2 linked regions of the Diceros bicornis minor genome follow. The protein of the gene in region 1 purifies or fractionates together with the protein of each later gene. This does not show direct contact. Links are inferred from orthologs where the notes say so. Each region holds a gene or a part of one and is shown on either strand. Other genes may lie near its edges.

Region 1 (7,892 bases):
CAAAATCGATCATAGATCTAAATGTAAAATCTAAAACTACAAAACTTCTTGAATAAAATCTTTGCAGCCTTGGGTTAGACAAAGATTTCTTAGATATGACACATCCATAAAAGAAAAAACTGATAAATTGAACATCACCAAATTTACAAACTCCTGCTCTGTGACAGACACTGTCAAGAAAATGAAAAGAAAAAATGAGTCTATCCGCACCACCCATAACCCTCCCTACAAGAATGAATTCTTCACTCCTTAGCTTAATTATAGGAGTCCCTCTTTGAACAGGTCCCTAAGGACTATCAGATTTCCCTTCTCAGATGGAGGTGGTAGAATGGCGTACTGCAAAAATGCTAGAAGTTTACTAGAAGTCTGGTTGGGTGTGGAATTGCCTGTGGTTATGATGCGCAAAGCTGATGCTTTATCAGAAGGGTTGCCAGTTGAGAAGCACCAAATCAAATTGTCTGGAGCTCGGCTACCAAATCCAAATGGAACAAATGAAAAGAGGCAATCAAGATCAACGGAAGTCAAAGTAGAGAAGGTCAAAGGTAGGTGAGAGAAGGGCAAGCCATCTATATTTACCTGAGCTGGTGTTTAGGTGGTTCACCTAATGAGGTAACCGACCAGCTGTTACCGGCATGCTAGGTCCAGTTAAAGGAAAAAAGGGGAGGGTCACAGACATCCAACACTCATTCTCATCTCTTCATGCAAACCCTACATTCCATGCTCCAATATCCTGAATAAGCACTGTCATTTCAAGCCTCTGAGCCTTCGCTGCTTCTGCTCCCTCTGTCTGAGATTCCCTTCTCTCTCTCCACTTGTCTTCCAATTAACTACCACTCATTTTTCAAGAAATAATTTACTATGTTTCTATTGTTCCAACACTCTGATTTGGACTTCAATTTTATCTAAGAATTCTGGCTGGCTTATTTCTCTCTAAAACTCATCATTTCTGACGGCCTCAGGTACTCTTCCCACCCCAACCATATCCCTCATCACCCAACTCTTGAGCCACACCACTCAGACTGCAGTCAGCTAATCCTCCTTATGGGGTGGGGGATATTCCCACTTCAAACCTGAGAAATAATGCTAACGTTAATGCTATCATTAACGATTTTGGATAACATATAGTGTGCACTTAATATGGTCTAGACACCATGCTAAATGCTTTATTTGCATCATCTCATTTAATCCTCACAACAACTCTAAGAGGGTTATTGTGTTATTCTACCCATTTTACAAAGGAGAAAACTGAGGCACAGAGAAGCTAAGTAACTTGCCCAAGGTCAAACACTTGGAAAGAGATAGGGCTAGGATATGAGCCCAGACAGACTGAATCCAGAGGTTGACTTCTTAACCACTGATCTATAATGTTTCCAAAATGGAACTTACCACTTTTTTCCTAACTTTCCTGTTGCTCAAGCCAAAAACTGAAGTTGCCCTCTACCTTTCATTCAGATCCCCTAATCTCCAATCTCATTATACCTACCTTAGTTCACTTTTTACCAGGATGATAACAATAGTCATCTAACTGCACTCTGCTGTAATGCACATTCCTCCTAACAGCCATACCGGACTTTCCAAATCACAATTTGATCATGTCACTCAACTGAATTCCTTCCAGTGGTTCCTATAATCTGTGCAATGGTCCAAACTCCTTAACCACATAGCAGACAAGGCCCCTCATCATCTAGTCCTGTTCTTCCCTTTCAGCTACACCTGCCATTTGCCTACATAAATAAACCATATTCCACTCAAGCCAACCTTCCTGCAAGTCTTGAACAAAGCATATTCCTAATCCTCTCAATGCTACAAATACTATTCTATTTGGGATGCCTACAAAGTTCTTTATCTAGTAAATTTATATTAGTACTTCAAGTTTCAGCCCAAACAGCACCTTCCTTGACCATAGTTAATAATAATCTTGTAACAGGTAATACTTGTTTAGCACTATACGTCAGAAACTATTCTAAATCCTTTACATATTTTAATACTCATTTAATCATTCCGACAACCCTATGAGGAAACCGAGGCAAAAGAGTCAGCAGTTGCTGCTACTTCAGTGATTTATGGAATTTATGTTTCCCTCCTCAAATTAAATTCTTGGAGAGTAGAACCATCCTCTTCATCTTTGTAGTAGCTATGTTTGTTTAGCCCCTGGCACATAACAGAAACAGGAGGCGCTCAATAAACATCTTTTGAACAAATGGCCAGAGCTGTGTTCTAACTGCAGGCTTGGAAACTCTTCCTTGCCATTAGTCCTCTAATTTATCCAGAGCACGCGAGGAGCATAACAAACATATTTAGTGTCTAGCAGAGTCCCATGTAACACGCTTAAGGAACCTACAAGTACTTACAAACAGCTCTGGTTAAAGTATATACACATCCTCATATATGCCACCAAGCTTTTTCTGCAGCTAACTTCTTTAAGTTTTTACAAATTTCCATGCAACCAACAGGCATTCAAAAAATATTAGTTGATCAACGATGACGACACTAAACATCACATATAAAAATTCTCGATAAAGAAATAAGGAGCTTACTTTGATCTCTCAGAAAGTCGATTTCTGTGGCCATTTCGATACAATTTTAGTTTGGAGCTTTCACCACCTTTACTTTCTTCAAAAAGACACAGAGCTTGCTGTGCGGGAAAACAAAACTAACGCAACGCTCCGGAGGTTGTCAAGCACTCGAACGGTGTAATCGGCATCCCACTCACGCCGCGTCAACAGCTCCGCCGCGCCTCCTTCTCCCGAGTCCCAGCCGACTCCCTCGCTCAGGCAAGAGACTTCAGATTTCAGGTTTGCTGGGGACCTGCCAAGTGAATTCTGATCCACGATCACCCAAATCCCAGTCGGGTGGGACGGGGACGCGAGTGGATACAGGCGTCCCGCGGGTCACTCGGGGTCGTGTCGGGCCACTTAGGAGAGCGCAGAGGAAGCCGGCGGGCAGCCTGGTGGCGGCGTCCTTCACGGAGCTGGGGGCGACTCCACGACAGCCGGGAAGCCCGGGGCCAAGAGCGGAAGTCCACTCGGCCCGCCCTGCGACTTTGAAACCGGTGCCCTGGACCGCTCCTTGGAGACGGTGACGCCGCCTGCGTCATCACGCTGGCGTCAGCGCTTACGTCATCGCGCTTCCTAGAGTCCTCGCACGCCATTGGCTATCTGTCAAGCGATGGGCGGAGCTGTGCGAGCCTGGATGACAGCGGTCTGAGCCGCCAGAGTGGCGGCGGACATGGTGGCAGCCATGCGCCTTTTTTTTTTTTAAAGAAACCCGAAAAATCTAAACGTAGGTAGGGATTAAATACATGTTTTAAATGCCCCCAGTATCTTTGATACCTAGCACTCCTGGACTGAGAGACCCCCCTGGTAGGTGAAAAGGATGTAAGGTTTGTGTGGCTAGGGGCAGAACCCAGACTGGCGTCTTCAGAATCCACCACCAAGGCTGTCCTGGAGGATTTCTGAGTGTGGATTTGGTAATCTCCAGAAGCTAAGTACGGTCCTGCCCCTCGTGGGTCTTTCGAGAAGGGAGACAGTTGTTGTTTAAATATTTGACTGTGTGGCAATAAGTCATGTGAGTAGAAGTACTCCAAAGATCCTGCAAATTCAGCAGGTATTTCTTTAAAGATAACTTTGCTTCCTCAAAAAGAAGGAAAAACAAAAGCTATATTTTTTGCAAGAAAAAATTAGGCAAAACTTTACATTTATGGATGGATAACAATTCCCATTTTAAAAAATTGATTTTGTCTGGATTTAAATCTTATTTTTTTTTAAAAACAGTTAACATTGGAGGAAATTTCAGTGCTAGCAATAAAAATGTTAACTTGAAGCTAGCCACTTGTTTTAGTGTTTTTAAATAGATTATATGTTTTTATGGATTGAAGTAGTTTCACTAAACAGACATGTCACAGATATAGCTTGATTTGGCTTTCTCTTTATGTTTAAGTTTTGTTGTCCTGTACTCATAATGTTATATAAATGAAGTAATGTTAGCAGAATGTATTAAGAAATTTTAGAAATGGGTCCAACTCTGTCCAGTTAGGTATTTAAAGTTCTGTTACGGGCTTTCTCCATACTCACTATTAAGAATGAGATGGTCTCTTCCTCCAAAGACTGGCTGTTAAATATGGAGGTATATCTAATAACCATAAAAAAATTTAATTTAGCTTTGAGTCAGTGATGATTGAACTTGATCTTGTTTTTAGTGACCATGAAGTTAACACAAAAACTTGTTGGAAGGAAAAATTGAATGTGCAAGCTCCAACTATTTTTACAAGGTCAGTGTATGACTTTTTCTTCAAGAACTTCTCACTGAGTCCCCAGGGACTTGCTGGTACCTTCTTCTATGTTTGAACCTTGTATATTGTCATATTGTGATTTAACTTGGCATCAAACAAGTACTTATAAACGTTAACTCTACATTTACACTAAAAGTTGATAGGATATATTGGTGTTGGCAAAAGCACAAATTACCTTCTGGATATAAATGATGAGTGGTCTTTGCATTGTATAAATTAAATATCTCAAATTGGAATTTTTATCTCTGTACTTGAATTATTTGGCTTATATGGTCAAGTTCAATATAAACTATAGTTTTGGGGATTGGGTTTTTTTTTTTTTTTGGTTACAAGATTTTACTCGTTGAATTTTTGAATTTCAATGGAGTATTTTCAAAATAATTTTCATCTTTAAGAAACAAAATTTTTATGATTCCACTTAAAGTATCCCCTCTAGTGTTTCTCGATTTTAAAGCTTCCCTTGTATTCTCTACCCACTCCCCCAAGGTAGGTACTTCCTTAGTACTTCATGCTTCTTCCTGCAGTCTCTATCATGTGGTTTTTGTAGTTTGTCTCCAGGCTCCATCGTAGTACCTGGAACCCAATAAGGACTCAATAAATATCTGATGAAGGAATTAATTTAATTAATTTAAGTTAAATGTATTTAAAGAATTCAGTGAATGTGCATGGAAGGTATCTATTAGTGTAATTGAGTATAAGGAATGAGAAGTGAGAGAAAAAAGTCTTAGTCTGTGTTTAACCGTTTTCTAGCCACTATTTCATATTTTTATATTAGATATATTTCTACAGTAAAGATAACCCTTGAAAATTGATAGATTTCACTAAAATGAATGTCTTCAATAAATTGACCTTGAGCCCCCAGTACTATGTGGAAAGGATCATGAAGAATACAAAGTTGGAAATTTAAGGTAGGGTCAAAACTGTACTTAACATTTTCTGATATAATTAAATGCCATAAAAAAAGTGATTTTTAAAAACTCTTAATAATTGTGTTTATTTTACCAGTCAAGAGAAGCATGGCCTAGAAACTGGAGCTCTATTTTTAAGCTTGTCTTTTTTTATTATTATAGTTTTTTTGTGTGTGAGGAAGATCAGCCCTGCGATAACATCCATGCCAATCCTTCTCTTTTTGCCGAGGAAGACTGGCCGTGGGCTAACATCCGTGCCCATCTTCCTCCATTTTATGTGGGATGCTGCCACGGCATGGCCTGACAAGCAGTGCGTAGGTGCGTCCCCGGAATCCGAACCCCCTCTGCCAGCCGAGGAGCTCACGCGCACTTAACCGCTATGTCACGGGGCCGGCCCCCTGTTATAATTTTTATAGTGAAAAAAACACATATGTAATCTACTGTCTTAAATTTTTAAGCGTACAAGACAGTATTGTTAATTATATGCACATTGTTGTACAGCAGGTCTCTAGAACTCTTTCATCTTGCATGACTGAAACTCTATACCTATTGAACAACAACTCCCCATTTCCCTCTCTCACCAAAAGTGATTTTTATAAACCAAAAATAATCATTTTGGTAAAACAAACACAAAAGCTGTTTTTCCCGCAAGGAAGTTTCTAAAAGTATGTTGTAAGCAGAATATATTTAGGCTGAACCATGTGAAATTGCCAATTTTCTGCAACTTAATGTGGTTTCACTTAATACTTTACCTGAAAATATTTGAATAATGGCAACACACCAATGTAATATCTGCTCTTGCATATTGGAAGAAAATGGTGGTAACTTAAAGATGTAGAATGTGCACACTATTCTCAAAGTAGCTACGAAGTTCAGGTGCAGTGACTCCTTGCTGAATTAAATGCACAGATCCTATAGAAGTTTTGGTAACTCCCAGCAACCAAAATACAGTGTGATTCTATTATTTGGAAATATTGTAGTTCTGTAAATTATTACCTTTTCTTGAGAAGTTCAAAACTTTACACATGATTATGTTATGAATTTATATCTAATCTTATGTAGAAATGATTAGTCCACACTGTCGGGTGAAAGAGATACTAAATGAAGGAAAATAGGTTGATAAATGCTGGAACTGCCAGGCTAGTTAAGACCGAACCAACCAGAACCATGTTGTATATCTCGAGAACACTTAACCAAACTTTGTGATCTCAAGGGGTCAGTTAGACTATCCTGTCTCATAGTCTAGTTTTGTATAAGAAAACAGCTTTGGAAACATGTAATTATAACAATTTAAACAGAATTTTTTTTTTAGGCAAACCTATATACTTTAATAATGAGCTAATCTTTTTTGAGTACTTACTATGTGCCAGGCACTGTTCTAAATGCGATATATATATATGTATATTCATTTAACCCTCACGAAAACCTTTTAAGGTAGGTGATATTTTAAAATCCTTTTTACAGTAACTGGCTGATGATCACAGTTGGAAAGTGCCTGAATTGGGATTTGAATCCAGGCACTCTGGTCCCAGCATCACAGTCGTTAACCGCCTCCCAGTAGTGTAATATAATTTACAGCTAGGGTAATATAATTTACAGCTAGTATAATATAATTTACACTTTTTGCTTATATAGCCAGTTAGCCTTTCATTGCATTAAGTGAATTATTGCTGTACATGTTCTATTGTAGTCTTAAGGATCTACAGTTAATTTTCAAATTGTTGCACAGTATTTATATTGCTGAGTTACCCTTCATTCTCCTCCTAGAAAAACTTCAGTGGAGTGATTAAAAGTCTTCAGATGTTCATCGGTGGTCCTTCAACATTTTTCTTTCCAGGAAAAGTCAGGTGTCTCTGCAGCAGTCTAAATCCCTCCGCCAGAACCTGTGGGCAGCTGGGCGGAGCCTAAGGCTGAGCCCGCTCCAGTGACCTCGGCAGAAAGGAGCCAGCAACTGCTGTACTGAGAAGACCTTGCCGGTCTGTGTTCTCTTCTTGTTACGCTTTCTCCACTCTCTCATTCCTTGTACCTTCGGCCAGGCTTGTCGTTTGGTTTTTCTCTGGTAACTTACTTTTCAGCTGCCTCCTGCTGCTGCACAGCTATTCTCACTTTCGGGCTGAGTTCCTCATTTCTCCGTTTCTCTTATAAATGGGTGGAAGTGGGGGTGGGGAAAGGATGCAAACTGAAAAGAAATAATTCTTGTAGAGAAACTAAAGAAAATTTCATGAATACAGGAATTTGGACACTTTCATTGCAAAACATTCTGTTGAAAAAACACCTCTTCTGTAACTTACTTCTTTTAACCTTTGTGCAATTTTTTTCCTTTGGGAGGCTCTTAATGCTCCCGGGTTCTGTCTCCTTTTTCTTCCTTCATTTCCTTTTAAAGGTCTTTCCATTGTGCAGGTACAAAAAAATTATTTTTTGACTTTTTTTGATGAAAGAGTAATGTGAAGAATAGAGGTTAAAATGTGAAAAAATACAGGTGAACAATAAACATTTTTTTAAGAAAGTATAAAGAGGCAACATTAAAATTCGATGATAGAATAGTGATCACTTGAATGAATATATTCCTTCAACAATATTCCTGATATTCATTCTGACTTTTTAGAAGCACACCATATATAATATAAAGGAGAGAAGAGGTGGACATCATACTCTTTGAGACCTAGCCTTAAATTGGACTTTAAAAACTATTT
Region 2 (8,072 bases), on another chromosome or scaffold:
ATCTGTACTGACTTAAAAATAAAACCAACCTCCAAAGGCAGAACCATGAATAGGCTATAAAATTTGACTCAAATTCCTTATATAATTTCAACAGCCTCACCTTGCTTAATAGTTAAAGCATTAAGTGTTAAACATTAAGTAATAATCATTACACAGTTATTATACCATAAGGACTATAAACAGCCAGGTGTTCCTAGCACAGGAAGCAAAAATGATAACTTACAATTAACTTAGTTCAAAAAGAATGCCATTTGAACCAGCGACATTTTAAAATTTAGAACTTGGGCTAAGAGATACAAATAACTAAAGGCCTGGGGTAACTAAGCTACTATTCTAACAGAACAGAGTCAAAAAGCAGTTAAAAAAAAAAAAAAAAAAAACTCAAAAAACGAACACACACAGTACAGAGAACAGATTGGTGGTTACCAGAGCGGAAGACGAGTGTGGGGAGGGTGAAAGGGGTAAAGCAGGACATGTGTACAGTGACGGATGGAAACTAGACTTTGGGTGGTGAACACGATGGACTCTATACAGAAGTCGAAATATAATGATGTACACCTGAAATTTATATAATGTTACAAACCAACGTGACCTCAATAAAAATAAATTAGTAAAATGTAAAGAAAAAAAATTACACCCACACCCAGAGGTGAATTTGTTTTATTATTTGTTTGTTTGCTTTTTAACTTGGAGCTGGACTTCAGTATAAGATTTCACTTTGGGGATGGGACAATAGCTTAAATTGGTTTGAATCTATAAACCAAACTTTAGTTTTTCAAAATGGTTAAGGAACCTTGGAGCAGAATTGAAATTTTAAAATTTATTTTAGGGGCCGGCCTGGTGGCGCAAGCAGTTAAATGTGCGCGCCCCGCTGCGGCGGCCCGGGGTTCATGGGTTCGGATCCCGGACGCGCACCGACGCACTGCTTGTCAAGCCATGCTGTGGCGGCGTCCCATATAAAGTGGAGGAAGATGGGCACGGATGTTAGCCCAGGGCCAGTCTTCCTCAGCAAAAAGAGGAGGATTGGCAGATGTTAGCTCAGGGCTGATCTTCACACACACACACACACAAAATTATTTTATTACTCTTATTGTTCTTCCCCTTGGTGATTTCTTTTAATGTATTTAATCTTATATAATGGCTTTTTTGTGTGTGTGTGAGGAAGATCAGCCCTGAGCTAACATCTATGCTAATCCTCCTCTTTTTGCTGAGGAAGACTGGCTCTGAGCTAACATCTATTGCCAATCCTCCTCCTTTTTTTTTTCTCCCCAAAGCCCCAGTAGATAGTTGTATGTCATAGCTGCGCATCCTTCTAGTTGCTGTATGTGGGACGTGGCCTCAGCACAGCCAGAGAAGTGGTGTGTCGGTGCACCCCCCCCCCGGAATCCGAACCCGGGCCGCCAGTAGCAGAGGGCACGCACTTAACCGCTAAGCCATGGGGCTGGCCCCAATGGTTTCATTTTAAACACAACATAACAAACAACATTAAAGAAACTGGGTTTTTTTCTTTAAAAAAAAAGCACTTTAAGTGTACTGATGCACAGAGCAATGTCTTGTCTTTTAATTATCAAGTATACGCAGACACAATATCATCTTTGAAATATCACACTGTCCACTCTTCCTGGTTGACTGGAACATGGTCATTATTTAGTGGCAATGTGTGGCTAGTGTTCTATACAAGACATTTACACCTCTTGGACGTTAGCTGGTTGACGTGGGATTTCTTCCATTCCTTGAACAAACATATATCAAGTCCCTCCTCCACCTAAGGTACTCTATTATCAGCTAAAGCTTCAGCTAGATATGGTTTCTGAGCTCCTAGAATTCTCCATCTAGGCAGGGAGCAAGTCACTCAAGCCACTATCTAGAGTCCTTTAAGAATGCCGAGGTTGCATAAGTTAGGGAACAGGCTGATCAATACTTGGTGCAGGGAAGGCACTGAAGGAAGCAATTTTTCAAAAGCTGGAGTTGAGGAGGTTCCTGGGGTGGGTGAGCGGCGGTATGTCAGAAAGAAAATAGGATGTAGAAAAAGATTAAAGAGTAAAATACGGTGAGGACAATTCAGGAGGACTGTTGTAGACGCTCCATAAATATTTGACAAAAATTAAATGTAGCATAAAACCAATATAATTCCTTTTCAAAACCACTTACTTCTGCCTTTACCTTACACGTAACTATTGTTGTCATTTTAGCATTGTTACACACACACAGCTCTCTTCACTAAAATGATTTTGCAACTTTAACACTCATTAAACCTTTTGTTTATCAAGAGATCCAAACATCTATTTCCTTTCTTGTCAACTAATGAGATTTCCAACACCAATTAATTTAGCAGCTAAATAATAGTTCCAACAACTTATCTTTTATGTGGTTATTTATAGCAAAGTGCTTTATAATTTTCTTTCTTTATGTGCTCTTAGATCTAGCTGTCTTCAGCGGTTCTCATCTTCCACGTCTTAATCAAGGTATCATGAATACTCCAGAAGCTGGACTTCTCTGTCTGCAAATTTCATCCCTTCGTTGGAACTATGGCCCTCAAAAAGTCTCCCGCATTTAAATAGGGCATATGTTTGACAAACACACACACACTCTCCTGCCTGCGTTCCTGGACCTGTCACCACTGATGCAGTGCAGCTGTCAGGGTGGGATGACAATTTGAAGAGACTGCGGAGGGGGCGTGTAGAAAGGAACTAGAGAAATTCACGAGGCTTGACTGAGAGTGACAGGCAGGAGAACTCCTACTCCCACTTCCGGGCAAATTCAGTGACGCGGCCGCGTCCTCCAGCGGGAGATCTCCAACGCGGGGGTCTCTCCGGTAAACTCTGTCCTCCAGGCCCCAGTGGGAGCTTGGGGGCCGTCGCGGGCGGACCCAGGCCCAGGGGACCCACGGGCGGGGCGAGTGGGAAGGACAGAGGGCAGGGCACCAGCCGACCCTCGGCGCCGGCCGATTCCCGCCCCCGCCTCGGGTAGGCCGTACCTGTCCCGCAGCCCGCGCTGGAGGCGGCCCAGCCTCTCATAGTAGTCGGGGCTCGCCAGGGGCGCGGACCGTGCGGGTGCCTGGGGCATGCCGCCGCCGCCACGCTCGCCCCGCGCCGCTTCGGGCCAGCGCGCGGAGGGGAGGGGCGGGTTGTCGGGGGCGACGGCCCCACCATGCACCGCGGGTGAACATGGCGCCCCGACGCTGTGCAGGGGGCGGGGCGGGGCGCCGTGAATGGGCGGGGTAGACGGCCGTGGAGGGGCGGGGCCCGTGGAGGGGCGGGGCGGAGGCGGGGTGTCGTGGGAGAGGTTGACGGCCGCCTTGGGGGGAGCCGGCCCAGGCTGCACGCTGCGGGATGGGCAGGGGTCCTTGGGGGTTGGGTGCCCAGGGCTCTCTGCCGGAGACTGGCGTCTTCCTTCTCCCTAACCGTTCAGAACTCTCACGGGACAGACCCTGGTCCTCCTCCAGGCGGAGCCGTTCTCTGAGGGTCAGTCAGAAGACCACTCCTGATCCCCACCATGGGTAAAGGATGGAGCGTGGCTGGGAGCAAGTCACGTGATCATTTTTTGTCCTGGCATGAAACTACATTAATTTTGCAAGATGCATTCTCTTTCCCTCCCGCCACCTCTCCCTCTCTTCTCCCCAGGATATGCTGAGTGCCACGCACTGTGCTAAGCTTGGTTTCCTACCAGCACTTAAAAGCAAAAGAAAACACCACAAAAAAGGACAAAATTGTAAGCAACTGTGTTCAGCCCTGACAGCAGAACAATCCCTTACCTGTAAATCCGTGCTGACCATAAGGATGTGGTTAATGCTGTAGGTCACATTACTAGTTGGTGAGGAGAGGAAAGTTGCTAACAAGTTGCTTGCAAAGCAGACATTTGTTTGTGCAGATATAGAATCCTGTAGCAGGGACTTGAGCCAGGCTGCCTAGACTCAAATCCCCTCTTCCACTGCCCAACTGTGTGACCAAGTGCAGGTCACCCTCCTGAAGCCCAGGGTTCTTTATTTGTAAAACCAGGAAGATTGTTACTGCAGGGCCTAGCTATGCCATTGCTATAAAGATTAGATCTGTTAACGTGTGTAAGTGTTTAGAAGAGGGCCCAGCACATAGGAAGCATCAGTTTTTATCAACATCATCACCAACTTGGGGGAAAAGCTTCCTGAAGAAAGCCAACCATACTCCAAAACCTGCAGGGCAGAAAAAAAGAAATTATAGTTTCTTTAGTCTCTTATTCTTCATTTCTTTTGGTTTCTTTTCTCAGTCATTAATTTCACTTACTTGCAAGGTGTGACTTAAACTAGTAAATCAATCATTAGCAAGAGAGATGGACTACTCAAAGGTCGATAATATAAAATTATAATGTTACTTAGCCTTCCCTTCACATTTGCCAGGGCCAGGGCAAGAGTGTGAATGGACGCCCTCATACCATCTGTCAAAATATTAAACAATTATAAATCAAGATGACAATTTGTAGATAAAATATGTTCTCTCCTCCTACCTTGGCCAATGTGCCTTCATAAGAACCTGGAAAGCCAGAGGGAAATTTAGTTCTCTGACTCCTTCCCCAGCCAACTCCTTTATTTCCCGCCCCGGGCCCAGTCTTGCACTGTGAGGGGCTGCACACACTGGCAGGGATGTGTGTGTCTCCCCTACGCCGCCACCCCAGTCTACAAGTCCTAGCTCTGTCCTCATCCTCACCTCAGCCTCCTCTTGGCCACTCCTCAGGCCTAAGGGCGAGCACCTTGCAGGAAGTGATAGTCACCCTTGCAGGAAGGGTCCAGGAAAGAGGTCTTTAAGGGCCTCAGAAAGGAGGTTAGGGCCCTTTGAGCAGGGATTGTCAGGGTGATAGGTACCTGGAATGTGTTGCAGAATGGGGTGTGTGTGTGTGTGTGTGTGTGTGTGTGTGTGTGTGTGAGAGAGAGAGAGAGAGAGAGAGCGCACTCTAGGCAGGCATGTCCCCTGGCCCTGGGCCTCCTTGCCTTGCATAGAATGGCATGGCCAGAAAAGGGCCAGAACAGGCTTTGTAATATACAGAAGCCAGGGTAGGGGCCCTCTTGCCTAGGTCTAAGGGTAATCCTGATGTTACTTTTATTTAGTTATATCAAATCATTATACCAAATTGATTCCATGGTAGTTGTGGACCTTAAACAGCCAGTTATTTCTCCAGCACAAAGAGGTTTATTTGGGATCAGCAAAGAATTGCAATCTAAGGTCTACAACCATGTCAAGCCACCTGCAAGTCCTGCAGAAAAGGGAGGAGAAACTCTTATAGAGGGGAAGAGGAAGTTGGGAGGGCTAATGTAAACAAAGAGTCCTCCAAAGAGGAGGAGACTGGGAGTTTAAAGTGTAGTGGCTTTTCATTGGCTGAGTTGTGGTAGTCTATCATTGGCTGAGCTGTTGCTGGCAAGAAGAGGAAGTCTTTCTTCTTCCTATTGGGCTCTGCTATCTTCATAGGGTGTCAGAGCTCCCCCTTTTGGCCACCTGACTCCATTTTAGTCAGGTTTATGTTTATTAATTTCCACATAGTGTACAAAGGTTTACTTTAGTGATTTTAGTGCAAACAACATTGTACTACAACCCTGGCAAAAAAAAAAAAAAATGCATCTTTTTAGCATATTTTATTTAGGTCTCCCCTCACCCAGATTAGTTTTCTAAGGGAAAAAAATCCCCCAAACAATTAATGTAACTAATTATTTTCAGTAAATACATAGAGTAACCAGGTGAGGCATCGTTTAGCATCCCAAATTTTTATTAGGCCATTTTAGGAGAGTCTAAAATTAAATATAATTAAACAGTAAATAGATAATTCAAAATAATTAAAATTTGCATTCTATGGTTGATTTATTAATGACATATGACAAATCCAAATGCAGGACCCTCTTTATTAACAATAACACATAGCAAACTAAATGAATATTTCTAGAGTATTTATGCTAAAATTATGCATTCTAAATGGTGACAGACTTTTATTAAATGCAGAGTTTTTCACTTTGAATATTTAATTTGCTGGAGCACTCCCTTTTAATATTGTTCTTAAATCCCTTTATATTAGCAGAGCTGATTTCTGTAAACAGCTCTGATTGTACTTCCTGGACCACAGGCCATGAAGTCTGCCTAGATGGACAAGTCTTCTTATAAGCTACAGAATGTCTTAGCTGCGAGTTAGAGGGAATCTAGCTTCACCCCCTTGTTTTTTTAGAGGAGAAAAAGGTTCAGGGCAGGTAAGGGACTTGGCCCGGGTCACAGCTGATTATCTGTGTAATGTTAATGAGTCTAGTTCCAAAGATGGGTCCCTAATGGCCCCATTAGGCAAAGAGTAAAGAAAGCCAGTGTTTCATCTCAGTAGACATATGGCTCTTTGGGTGAACCATATGAAATTGCCGTTTTTGTAGCTCAGAAACAGTTGGATCAATGAATGGAAGATTGGTTTTGGAAATATGTTGAAATTAGAATTTTACATTTTAAAATGTAAACACCACACAATTTTAAAATTAAATCCTGTATATTTGAGTCAATAACTGCTTGGATATTATATTATGTAGTTTGCTAGGGCTGCCATAATAAAGTACCACAAACTGGATGGCTTAAACAACAAAAATTTATTGTGTCACAGTTCTGGAGGCCAGAAGTCTGAGATCAAGGTGTGGGCAGGGTTGGTTCCTTCTGAGGAAGACTCTGCTCCGTGCCTCTCGCTTAGCTTCTGGAAGTTTGCCAGCAATCTTTGGCATTCCTTGGCTTGAGGTGCATCACCCCGATCTCTGAAGTCATTTTCACATGGCATTCTCCCTGTGTGCATGTGTGTCTCCAAATTTCCCCTTTTATAAGGAAACTAGTTATATTGGATTAGGGGCCCACCTTCCTCTAGTATGACCTTATCTTAATTAATTATATCACAATGACCCTATTTCCAAATAAGGTCACATTCTGGAGTGCTGGGAATTAGGACTTCAACATACGAATTTAGGGGGTACACAATTCAACCTGTAACAGACATGAACATGGAAAGTATTTCATTTTGCAATCACTATTCAGAAATATTTGACATTGCATCCTATGCTATTAGAAAATTCACTTTTAAGTAGAGATGACTCAAAAGTAGAAAGTAGGGAGAAAGGCTGTGATGCCACATGAATATGTATGTGGAACCCCTCCACCCATTGAGCATTTACACCAGTATAAGCATTTATTGCCTTATTTAAACCCAATAACAGTCCTTTGAGGGCACCTGGCCTAAGATCATGCTGCCAGTATGTTCTTGACCAGCTAGTGGTAGAGCTAGAATTCAAACAGATCTTTTCCAAATCCAAAGTCTATCCTTTCTTATCCTCCATTCTATATGGCCTTGAAACTCATCATTTGACAGCTACTGATATTTTTTATTTTCCTTGTATGAGATGTGTAAAATATATATTTTGTGACCCAGAAGGGTTTACACATATACATGGTTCATTATTTGAGGAATAATATTCATTGACATAGAATGCATTTTTTACCTGCTGTGATATAACACTATGTGTTCACCATTCTGTTAATTTTCCTCCTTAGCACTCAGTAAGACTACGTTTCTCATCCTTTCTAGTGGTTAGATGGGTCTATATGACCCAGTCTGGCAATGAAGTATGAGCAGAAGTGATATAGCCACTTCCAGGCCTGGCCTCCAAACATCCTGCACTCTCTTCCTTATTTTTCATTAGTTGGCCAGCTAGATGCAGAGGATCCAATGGAGAACTCTGAGGCCCTGGAAGAAGAGTGGATGATTGCAAAGCATAGAGCACAGAACTGTGTCTTGGGCAAGAACTAAACCTTCAATATATTGAGCCACTGATATTTTGAGGTTGTTTGTTTCAGCAGCTGGCATACTTATCCTGACTAATACACAAACATTCCATGCAACAATTACACAAATGCACCAAAACAACTTTCTACAACATTTTCAATGGATTTATGTGACTATCCAGATGGCGAAGGAGACTGAAAACCTGGAACTCTGAGATTAAGAGTTGATGTCTGACAATGGAATACTACTAAGTCAAAAAAAAAGATGAAATCTTACCATTTGCAACATGGGTGGACCTTGAGGATATTATGCTA

What was found. Proteins that work in one complex are often made in the same cells at the same time.
Region 2: the proteins of SCLT1 (region 1) and KIZ purify together in Homo sapiens (co-immunoprecipitation; 3 studies listed by BioGRID and IntAct, counting the BioPlex papers as one, with this or other methods). This does not show direct contact. The link is inferred for Diceros bicornis minor from reciprocal best matches to the Homo sapiens genes SCLT1 and KIZ.

What each region holds. Positions count from the first base shown.
Region 1 is NC_080750.1:21,310,156-21,318,047, forward strand, and holds the start of SCLT1 (sodium channel and clathrin linker 1), read right to left. Parts: upstream 3,035-7,892; 5' UTR 2,572-3,034; coding exon 2,538-2,571; intron 1-2,537. UniProt on the Homo sapiens protein: Adapter protein that links SCN10A to clathrin. Regulates SCN10A channel activity, possibly by promoting channel internalization.
Region 2 is NC_080758.1:47,603,234-47,611,305, reverse strand, and holds the start of KIZ (centrosomal protein kizuna), read right to left. Parts: upstream 3,082-8,072; 5' UTR 3,067-3,081; coding exon 2,978-3,066; intron 1-2,977. UniProt on the Homo sapiens protein: Centrosomal protein required for establishing a robust mitotic centrosome architecture that can endure the forces that converge on the centrosomes during spindle formation. Required for stabilizing the expanded pericentriolar material around the centriole.